Linked DNA regions of Anolis sagrei. The protein of the gene in region 3 binds, or shares a complex with, the protein of the main gene of each other region. Links are inferred from orthologs where the notes say so. Each region holds a gene or a part of one and is shown on either strand. Other genes may lie near its edges.

Region 1 (3,755 bases), on a different chromosome or scaffold from region 3:
TCTGTAGATTAGAAGAAGAAAAGCTGTATGAACAGAAACATATGCACAGCTTATTGATCTACTTTTAAAGCGGAAATCTTCAAACAATGAGTCAGGGTGGGGGTGGGGGGTGTGAATGTTGCAACTGATCACCTTGATTAGCACTGAATAGCGTTGCAGCTTCAAAGCTTGCCTCCTTCCTACCTGGGGGAATTTTTTGTTGGGTAGTGATTAGCTAACCCTGACTGTTTCTTGTCTGGAATTCCCATTTTTGAGTGTTGTGTGGCCCAATCAACAATTGGGCCACAGAGTTTACAGAAAACCTACACACATGGATAGATACCTACATAAAAACTCCAAACATCACCCAAGTAAAAAAGAAGAAGAAGAAGAAGCACAATTAAAGCTCTGGCAGACCATGCAAAAAGAATCTGCGAACCCCACCTTCTCCAAGATGAACTGAACCACCTAAACCGGGCTCTACAGGCCAATGGATACTCCACCACAGACATCAGAAGAGCTGCAAGACCGAGAACAAGCCACGAGAGTAAAGACAAAGATCCACCCAGAGGAAAAGTGTTCTTGCCATACATCAAGGGAACCACTGACCACATAGGAAAGCTGATAAAGAAACACAACCTACAAACTATCTACAGGCCCATTCAGAAAATCAAATAAATGCTATTTCCAGCAAAGGACAAGAGGGATCCTCTCACTTCTGCAGGAGTCTACTGTATACCATGCAGCTGTGGATAAGTCTACATAGGGACCACCAAAAGCAGCGCCCAAACACGAATAAAGGAACATGAAAGGCACTGCAGACTGATTCAGCCACAGATGTCAGCCATAGCAGAGCACCTGATGAACCAACCTGGACACAGCATATTATTTGGGAATACAGAAATGCTGGGCCACTCTCACAACCACCATGTCAGGATACACAGAGAAGCCATTGAAATCCACAAGCATGTGGACAATTTCAACAGAAAGGAAGAAACCACAAAAATGAACAAAATCTGGCTACCAGTATTTAAAAACTCTATAATCAGGATGGTAAATAGAGAGCAACACTCAAAAAACAAAGGAATTCCAGAAAAGAAACAATCAGGGCCAGCTTTTCTTTTCTTTTTGGTTGTGTCAGGAGCAAGTCGCTTCTGGTGTGAGAGAATTGGCAGTCTGCAAGGACGTTGCCCAGGGGATGCCTGGATGATTTGATGTTTTTATCATCCTTGTGGGAGGCTTCTCTCATGTCCCCGCATGAAGAGCTGGAGCTGATAGAGGGAGCTCATCTGCCTCTCCCCAGTTTCGAACCTGCGACCTGTCGGTCTTCAGTCCTGCCGGCACAGGGGTTTAACCCACTGCACCACCGGGGGCTCCAGGGCCAGCTAACACCTCCCATCAAAGGAGCCCCCCAGGCAGGAAGCAGCCAGGCTTTGAAGCTGCAAGGCTACTCAATGCTAATCAAGGTGGCTAATTGTAACATTCACACCTGCCTCAAGCAGACAAAAAGTTCTTTCTCCCACCTTGGACATTCCACAGAAATATAAACTACACTTGCTTAGTTTCCAACAGATTTCACAACCTCTGAAGATGCCTGCCATGGATGTAGGCGAAACGTCAGAAGAGAATGCTTCTGGAACATGGCCATTGTTGTTGTTCATTCGTTCAGTCATCTCCGACTCTTCGTGACCTCATGGACCAGCCCACGCCAGAGCTCCCTGTCGGCCGTCACCACCCCCAGCTCCTTCAAGGTCAGTCCAGTCACTTGAAGGATGCCATCCATCCATCTTGCCCTTGGTCGGCCCCTCTTCCTTTTGCCTTCCACTTTCCCCAGCATAATTGTCTTCTCTAGGCTTTGCTGTCTCCTAATGATGTGGCCAAAGTACTTCAACTTTGTCTCTAGTATCCTTCCCTCCAGTGAGCAGTCAGGCTTTATTTCCTGGAGGATGGACTGGTTGGTTCTTCTCGCAGTCCAAGGCACTCTCAGAACTTTCCTCCAGCACCACAGTTCAAAAGCATCGATCTTCCTTCACTCAGCCTTCTCTAAGATCCAGCTCTCACATCCGTAGGTTACTACAGGGAATACCATGGCTTTGACTAGGCGGATCTTTGTTGCCAGTGTGATGTCTCTACTCTTTACTATTTTATCGAGATTGGACATTGCTCTCCTCCCAAGAAGGAAGCGTCTCCTGATTTCCTGGCCACAGTCTTCATCTGTAGTAATCTTTGCACCTAGAAATACAAAGTCTGTCACGGCCTCCACGATTTCTCCCTCTATCTTCCAGTTGTCAATCATTCTTGTTGCCATAATCTTGGTTTTTTTGATGTTTAGCTGCATCATACATACATGGCCATACAGCCCAGAAAACTCACAGCAACCCGATAATAATAATACGAATAGTACCTCGATAGTTTGCGCAGGGCCCGGTACTTTCTCTTAAACTGTCAGTAGGTTTACTTCACAGAGAATGGCTGAAGGGCGGCAGGGCCTTCACCCTAAGCCTTCCTTGGGCGACCACAAGGCCTCGCGGCTGTAAAACCGACACCTTCAAAGGCAGCGCTGATCCTGCTCAAGCGTCTCCCGCCCTTCCCGCTCACTCCCCTTTCCCCTGGCTTCCGTTGACAAAGAGGAGGAAGGAGGAGGAGAGATGGCCGTTGCTGGGCGACGCCATCAAACACTTCTCTTCCGGGCTCAAAAGAACCCGGATATTCTTTAACCTCCCACAAAATGTCCTGCCGAAGACTACGCTACCCACAGTGCTCTACGCACTACCGAGAGGCGGACTTTCACAACATCGGCCGCTTAGCATGCTGGGACGTGGAGTTTTTTCCCCCCAGAGCGGCTTCTCAGCATGCTCTGTCGTCACGCCGTAGGGGGAGACAGAGTCAGCGCCTGCGCAGTGCGAGAGGGGAGTCTCCAGTTGCTTTTTCATGTTCAGGGGCTGGAGAGAGACATGGTGGAAGAGATGCTCCAGCAGAGCCTCCGAGTTAATGTGGGAAGCAGGGCTGCTTGTGCCGGCTTCTTGCCAAGGGCGGTAATGTGCTAAAAGGTAAGGAGAGGGTTCCTGGCATCTTTAGAGGGAGGAAGAGGGTTTAGAAAGACTCAGGGCGGTGTAGTAGGGCTGCCCCTGTTTTCTGCATCTCACAAGGCTTACCTGTATGTTAAGTGAGAGGAATGCTTCCATCTATTGCTAGAGGTGGCCATCGCAGAAAAAAAGTGGGTGGTTTCCCATGAAAGTGTTCACACGTGACGCTGGTGAAGACCCGTGTTCAGACCCTACAGTTTGAGTATCCTTCATCTGAAATGCTTGGGACCAGATATTTTTGGATTTTGGAATATTTTCATATTCATAACTAGCTGTACCCGCCACGCGTTGCTGTGACCAACCTTCCCTCCCTCTTTCTCTCCTTCTTTCCTTTTCTTCTTTCCTTCTCCCCTTCCTTCCTTCTCTGCCTCTTTCCTTCCTCCCTTTTTCTTTTCCTTCCCTTTCTCACCTTCCTTCCTTCCTTCCTTCCTTCCTTCCTTCCTTCCTTTGCTTTTTGCTTCCATCCATCCTTCTCTCTTTCCTTCCCTCCCTCTTTCCTTCGCTCCCTCTTTCCTTCCTTTCCTTTTTTCTTTCCTTCTCTCCTTCCTTCTTTCTATCCCCCCTTTTCTTTTCCTCTTTCTTTCCTTTCTTCCTTCTCTACCTCTTTCCTTCCTTCGCTCTTTGCTTTCATTCTTCCTTCTCTCTTTCCTTCCCTCCCCTTTTCACTCTTTCTCTTCTTCCTTCGCTCCC
Region 2 (3,755 bases), on a different chromosome or scaffold from region 3:
GCAGCTGCACAGTCAAATTAATGCAGATTGACACCACTTTAACTACCACTGCAAAATCCTATAGGATCCTGAGGCCCCAGCATTCTTTTGGCAAAAAAGGACACATCCCTTGTAAAACTTACTTACTTACTTACTTAGGCGATCCCTCGTTGGACGAGTAAGATGGTCTTCCATTATGGATTTCCTTGTGGGTCCGTAGGTGGCTGTGGAGCCCTATTCTTGCTCTGCATCTTCTTCCGCAGTGAGGGCATTGGTTTCCAGGTGGAAGGCGTTCCCGGTCGGGGTTGGCTTGACGCGCCTTCCTCCTGGCACGTTTCTCTCTTTCACCCTCCACTCGTGCCTCCTCGAATTCTGCAGCACTGCTGGTCACAGCTGTCCTCCAGCTGGAGCGCTCAAGGGCCAGGGCTTCCCAGTTCTCGGTGTCTATGCCAGAGTTTTTAAGGTTGGCTTTCAGCCCATCTTTAAATCTCTTTTCCTGTCCACCAACATTCCGTTTTCCATTCTTGAGTTCGGAGTAGAGCAACTGCTTTGGGAGACGGTGGTCAGGCATCCGGACAACGTGGCCGGCCCAGCGGAGTTGATGTTGGAGGACCATCGCTTCAATGCTGGTGGTCTTTGCTTCTTCCAGCACACTGACGTTTGTCCGCTTGTCTTCCCAGGAGATTTGCAGGATTTTCCGGAGGCAGCGCTGATGGAATCGTTCCAGGAGTTGCATATGACGTCTGTAGACTGTCCACGTCTCACAGGCATATAGCAGGGTTGGGAGGACAATGGCTTTATAGACAAGCACCTTGGTCTCCCTACGGATGTCCCGGTCCTCGAACACTCTTTGCTTCATTCTGGAAAATGCTGCACTTGCAGAGCTCAGGCGGTGTTGTATTTCGGCGTCGATGTTGACTTTGGTGGAGAGGTGGCTGCCAAGGTAGCGGAAATGGTCCACATTTTCTAATGTTACACCATTAAGCTGTATTACTGGCATTGGAGAGGGATTGGCTTGTGACTGCTGGAACAGCACCTTGGTTTTCTCAATGTTCAGTGACAGGCCGAGCTTCTCGTATGCTTCTGCGAAGGTGTTTAGAGTGGCTTGTAGATCTTCTTCTGAATGCGCACAGACGACATTGTCATCAGCATACTGGAGTTCTATAACAGATGTTGTTGTAACCTTGGTTTTGGCTTTCAGTCTGCTGAGGTTGAATAGCTTGCCATCTGTCCGATAGATTATTTCCACTCCGGTGGGAAGCTTCCCATCAACAAGGTGAAGTATCATAGCGATGAAGATGGAGAATAGAGTTGGGGCGACAACTCCCATAATTCCATATTGAGCTATAGCAGTTAAAGTGGTGTCAAACTGCATTAATTCCGCAGTGGAGATGCACCCCATGGCTGGCTAAGAGTTATAGGCAAGTGCCCAGAATGGAAGGACCCTCTCACATCACACAGTCAGTATCCGACTTCAGCTGCCATGGCAACATGCACTGGAATCCTATAACTCGAAGCTTAGGATGAGGCATTGTTAGCCAGAGAGATCACCTGGTACCCTTGAACAAATTATGTATTTCAATAGATTTTGATGGTTTTAGCTATTTCAATAGTTTATTTATTTATTTATTGCATTTCTATACCGCTTTTCTCACTCCTAGGGGGACTCAAAGAGGTGTACAGCATAATAATTGGCAAAAATTCACATAAGAATAAAAACAATACATGACAAATCTTAAAGCAATAACATATAACTGTAAATTAAAATCATTAAAATCGTCAGACATGATCGTTTGCCAGTTTGTGTAGCTTTCAATTACCAATCTTGTAAGCAGTGCAATATTTGATCTAATTTTAGTGTGAGAGTCTCCATACTGCTGAGTCTGGATCTTCCATACATTAGGAGTCCTGACTGCAGAGAGGTTTCCCTTTCTCCTCCCCCAGTTTCCCTTCCCTTCTCTTCCTTTCTGCCTCCCCCACTTCCTTCCAGGGACACAGCTCGTCCTCACATGATACTGAGTGCATCTACACTGTAGAATTAATGCAGTTTGACCTCTCCAGTCCCCGCCACCACTTACTGCGAGGCGCCATCTTCCATCTCCATGGACACCAACTACGCAGAAAGCCTGCGGCCGGCTGCTACTTCTCCTCGCCCGGATGTCAATCTGTGCCCCACAGAGAAGGGCCTGACTTAGGGATGAAGACGTCACTTCCGCTATGGGATCGGAGCCGCTCTAGCCCTGGACTTCTCAGGCTCCAAACACAGGCCGGTCAGTGTGGCGCGAGTCTGCATTCGATGCCGGAAACAACGACGTGGACTCTAAAGAGGAAGCCGCTTCGTCCTCACAAGAGCCCGACAGGGGTCGCCTCCGTTTCCATAGTTACCCCTTGGCCCCGCCCCTCGCCCCCACCAATCAGGGGGCGGAAAAAGGCCTCCCATAGCAACTAAGCAGAACTAAGAACCAAGAAATAAGCAGCCCTTCAGATGCATCTATATCAGGCTTAGGCAAACTTGGGCCTTCCAGGTGTTTTGGACTTTTGAAGTCCAAAACACCTGGAAGGCCCAAGTTTGCCCAGACTTGATCTACACTGTAGACTTTATTAATTGACCCCACTTTAACTGCCATAGCTCAATGCTATGAAATCTTGGGCTTTGTAGTTTGAGGAAGCAGTGGCACTCTGGCAGAGAAGGCTCAAGACCTTGTAAAACTACAGCTCCCACTATTCCTTTGCATTAAGCCATGGCAGTTAAAGTGGGATCAAACTATATTCATTCTATAGTGTGGATAAACCCCAAGATCCTGCTTGAAAACATCTTTACCGAAGGACTTTCCGCCCTTCTATTCCTTCATTTCTCCCTTTTCAGTATACAAAGCAACTTTTCACTGCTACAGCTTGTCTTGACTTCTATACCCCAGGATTTGAGTACGCACAGAATTTTGTGGTTGCTTTGTTTCAACAGCATGTTTCTTTCCCCTATTCCTGTCTTATCCCTGGACAATGGAAGTGCAGGCTGAGATTCTCTTATCAGAAATGTTTGGGACAAAGAATATTTGGGATTTTTATGGATTTCGAAATATCTACTTGCATATACACATGATGGCATGTCTTGGAGAGGGAGCCATGCTTAAACGCCAAGTTTATTTTTGTTTCTTATACTATTAAAAGAATTTTATATACAATATTTGTATTAATTTTGTGCATGTACAATGAACATAAGAGAGCAGCCTCCCATGTGAACAATTTAGTATTTTGGATTATTTTGGGATTCCAGATAAGGGATGCTCAACCTGTAACTTTTTCTTTCTCGTGGTTCTTCTATAATGGAGTATTACTAAATTAAACAACTTAGTTTTAAGACAAATACTAGACTAGACAAGCAGGGAAACATTCTTCATATCAATAATAATAATAATAATAATAATAATAATAATAATAATAATAATATCAGGATAGTGAAAGGAAAGATTAATACAAAATAATCACATTATAGTTTCTGGAAAAAAGTTTTATTTTCTCATAGTTAATAAAAACACAAGTACAAAAGACAAGTCTAATAAGTCCTCGAGAGTATGTTTGCCCAGATAAAAGCAATATTGCAAAGCTAGAGGATTGTTCTTTTATGCTTAGTTGCATTGCCAGTGGTACTAATGAAGGCAAGAGGCCTTTTTGACAAACGATGTGGAACACATGATGAGGGAATATTCTTCAAAGAGAAAACTGCTACTTGTTGAGTTCTTGCCAATCCCATTTGGCACTTCAGATTGTTCCTCAGT
Region 3 (3,755 bases):
CGTTGCTTCTCCCGCCGGTCTCCTCCAGCCGCAGGACCTCCCGGTGGTACTGGCGGTCAAGCGGTGTCTGGCAGGCCGCGGCGCTGCGGTAGAGGTCCACCTCGAACTGAGGGCACATGGGACGGAAGAAGGAATGAAATGGTATGATTGGGGCAGAGGAGAAGTGACCACAGAATTTTTTGCTGTACATAAGTATAGAATTGAAAACAGGAGCCATCAGAATGTTATGAGAATATATGGGATATATATATATTAAAAGGTGACTGTGACAATGTTATAATTTATGTGTATATTTATATATAAAGGTCATCCAGTCCAACCCCCTTCTGCTTTAACAGAAGACACTGTCCGATCCCTCCCAACAGGTGGCCATTCAGCCAATAGATAGCCATAGAATGAATGAATATGTGTGTGTGTGTGTGTGTGTGTGTGTTATAGAACCCTACAGTTGGAGGGACCTCAAGGATCATCCAGATAAATGGCCACAGAATATCTATATCTAGGTAGATATAGATATATGAGATATATATTATGTATATCAGAGAATCCTACAGTTGGAGGGACCCCAAGAACCATTCAGTCCAACCCTCTTCTGCTTTAAAGGAAGACACCATCCAAGCCCTCCCGACAGATGGCCATTCAGCCAAAAATAGATGGCTATATATTTATTTACATATATACATATATACGTAGAAATACACACACACATGTATGTATAATATCTATGCATTTGACATAGACTTGCCTGGCGGAAGAGCTTCTCCATCCAAACCCTCCTAACAGATGACCATTCAGCCAAAGATAGATGGCTATACACATATATATGTATGTGTTTATAATATCTATGCATTCGACTTAGACTTGCCTGGCAGAAGAGTTTCTCCATCCAAACCCTCCCAATAGATGGCCATTCAGCCAAAGATAGATGGCTATAGATATTATATCTATGTGCATGTGTGTATCTATAAATATATATATAATATCTCTGCATTCGACATAGACTTGCCTGACTGAAAAGCTTCTCCTGCCATCCAACTACGACCTCTTCGCGCTCCTCCTCCGGACAAGGGGCACCTGAAAGACACAAGAGTAGGCCGACGGGTCAAGCATGCGGCTTTGGCCAATGTGGTCCCGGCCCAAAAGCCCAAAGCAGTCACTCACTTGCCACAGGGCCAAGGGTGGCCAAGCCGATGAGCTGCTGGCCGGAGGAGGCTTGGAGCTGCTGAAGGAGAAGACTGGTAGACGTCACCCGCTGGAGGCCGACCCTGCGTGGGAGGACAAGAAGAGCCAACCTCTCACAACATAATACTACTACTACAAATAATGTGTGTGTGTGTGTTGTGTGTATACATATATATATAATATACCTATCTATATATATAGGTATATAAAATATAGCATACAACATATATCATACATATTATTAACATATAATATTAATCTATAACATGTACAATATATAAAAATTATATTAAAACATTAATCTACAATATATAACATCTATAACAGGTATATAAATAACACTATTAATATAATATTAATCTATAATATATAACATATTATATAATAATAATGTATATAATATTAATCTATATAACATATAATATATAGTAAATAATATTAATATATTACAGTATATAAACCATTAATATGATACACATATATATTATTAACTTATTACAATATAAATCTATAATATATAACACTTAATATATAATACACATTATAATATGTATAACACATAATACGTAATATATAATATATTACAATATAAATCTATAATATACAATATATATAAAATATAATACATTACCAAATAAATCTGTAAAATATAATATTATGACTATAGATTATAAATATATAATATATAACATAATATATAAATAATGTTATAAATATAGAAAAATGTATAATACATCACATATTTTATAAATTTTATTTATAAATAATATTACTATATTACAATAGAAACCTATTATATACAATATTAATAATATTTTACAGTATAAATCTACAATATATACATTATATATAAAATAAATAATATTAATATATTACAATGTAAATTATAATATATACCATACAATTTATAATAATAAATATTATTAAATAAATATAATAAATATTATTAATCTATTTCAATATATAAAATTACTATTATTATTATAAATATATTACAATATAATTTTCTATAATATATAACATACAATATACATAATAAATAATATTAATAAATTTTGAAAATATATTTTAATTTTTTTTTAGTTTCCATATGTTTTCATATGGAAACTGTTTTCATATGTATATGTGTATCTATCTATCTATCTATCTATCTATCTATCTATCTCTGGTTGTGGGAGTCCCTTTCTCCCTGAGGTGTTTTGTTGAAGAAGAAACAGTGGCGCCCAACTCGAGCGAAGGCTCCGGAGTCCGCACTAGGCCTCACGGGAGAAAAGGGGCGATTAAAATGGCGGTAGGCCTCACCGGACGCGGAGGTTGCCGATGGGGTCCCGGGAGCGATAGACGGCGACGCCGGTGTCCTCATTCCACGCCGCCTCTGCCATACCCAGAGCCTTTTTTCTTTTTTTCCTACGCGAGTCTCAGGCTGCGCTGTTCCTGCTAGGCCGCGTTTCCATGGAGACGGCAAGATGGCTGCGGTTCTCAAAAGTATCTGGCTCTATTGAACTCCAACCCCCACAATCCTTTGCGCAGCAGTTAACATTGTAGAGCCCGGCTCTGTCTCCCTGGAGCATCATGGGAGTCGTTGTCCGGTGGGGGAAAAGACCTAGAAACAGAAATGACAGGCATTTGGGAAAGCGGAAGTGACGCCATGACGTCGACGCGCGTATAGAGAAGGCGGAAGAGAGAAGGAAGTAGAGGCTGAGGGAAGGTTCAGAGATAAAGAAAGGAGGAAGGAGGACAAATAGGGGAAAAAGCAGGAGGGTAAGTCTCAGGATTAGTATTATGGTATGGCTTAAGAGTAAGAGTAATAAGAAGAAGAGTGATTTTTGAAAATGTGTATTTATTTATTTATGTGTGTGTGTCTCTTTAAATAGAGAGATATCTATGCATGTATATGCTTTAAGCGCCTCTGTATATCTTTCTGCATGAATAGAAATAAATATAACTTGTGTGTATATCCTATCTTATATATGCAAGTATAAAATGTATAGTATAGAATCAGTGTGAAATAGTATAAATTAAATATAGTATAAAATAAATAAAAATATAGAGTAAAAATATAATATACAATAAATATATAATAACATATAAAATATATAGTATAAAATAAATATAAAATACATGGTATAAAATATAGCACAAATATCTATAAAATAATGTATATACAATATATAGAATATTTATTTATTTATTTGCCATATTTATATACCGCTCCTCTCAACCCAGAGGTGACTCGAGGCGGTTTACAGTTGGCAGTCAATTATTATTATTATTATTATTATTAACTTTATTTATACCTTGCAAAGGACTCGATGCGGCTTACAAAGGCCGCCAACAATACAAAATACAATACACAATAAACTCATAAGCAAATAATAAAACATCAAGCAAAACAGAAAATAGTAACAATGACGCTGTGACGCAATTAAAACCAGGTCGGGCCAAATGTAATGAACACAATTTAAAAGTGCTGGACTTGACAGGTAATATGAGGCGGTATTTGGAGATAGGTGCAAGTGCAGATAATCCTGAATCTCTAAGGTGCATTTGGGACTTAAGCTAGGAGTTTCCTA

Evidence for each region.
Region 1: MKS1 (region 3) and CEP290 share a complex: the UniProt entries of both Homo sapiens proteins name them as parts of the tectonic-like complex. The link is inferred for Anolis sagrei from reciprocal best matches to the Homo sapiens genes MKS1 and CEP290.
Region 2: MKS1 (region 3) and TMEM216 share a complex: the UniProt entries of both Homo sapiens proteins name them as parts of the tectonic-like complex. The link is inferred for Anolis sagrei from reciprocal best matches to the Homo sapiens genes MKS1 and TMEM216.

Annotation. Positions count from the first base shown.
Region 1 is NC_090025.1:152,526,745-152,530,499, forward strand, and holds the start of CEP290 (centrosomal protein of 290 kDa), read right to left. Parts: upstream 2,686-3,755; 5' UTR 2,384-2,685; intron 2-2,383; 5' UTR 1-1. UniProt on the Homo sapiens protein: Involved in early and late steps in cilia formation. Its association with CCP110 is required for inhibition of primary cilia formation by CCP110.
Region 2 is NC_090021.1:236,146,088-236,149,842, reverse strand, and holds the start of TMEM216 (transmembrane protein 216), read right to left. Parts: upstream 2,332-3,755; 5' UTR 2,071-2,331; coding exon 2,058-2,070; intron 1-2,057. UniProt on the Homo sapiens protein: Part of the tectonic-like complex which is required for tissue-specific ciliogenesis and may regulate ciliary membrane composition.
Region 3 is NC_090031.1:28,096,516-28,100,270, forward strand, and holds the start of MKS1 (tectonic-like complex member MKS1), read right to left. Parts: upstream 2,664-3,755; 5' UTR 2,565-2,663; coding exon 2,485-2,564; intron 1,266-2,484; coding exon 1,162-1,265; intron 1,075-1,161; coding exon 1,007-1,074; intron 107-1,006; coding exon 1-106. UniProt on the Homo sapiens protein: Component of the tectonic-like complex, a complex localized at the transition zone of primary cilia and acting as a barrier that prevents diffusion of transmembrane proteins between the cilia and plasma membranes.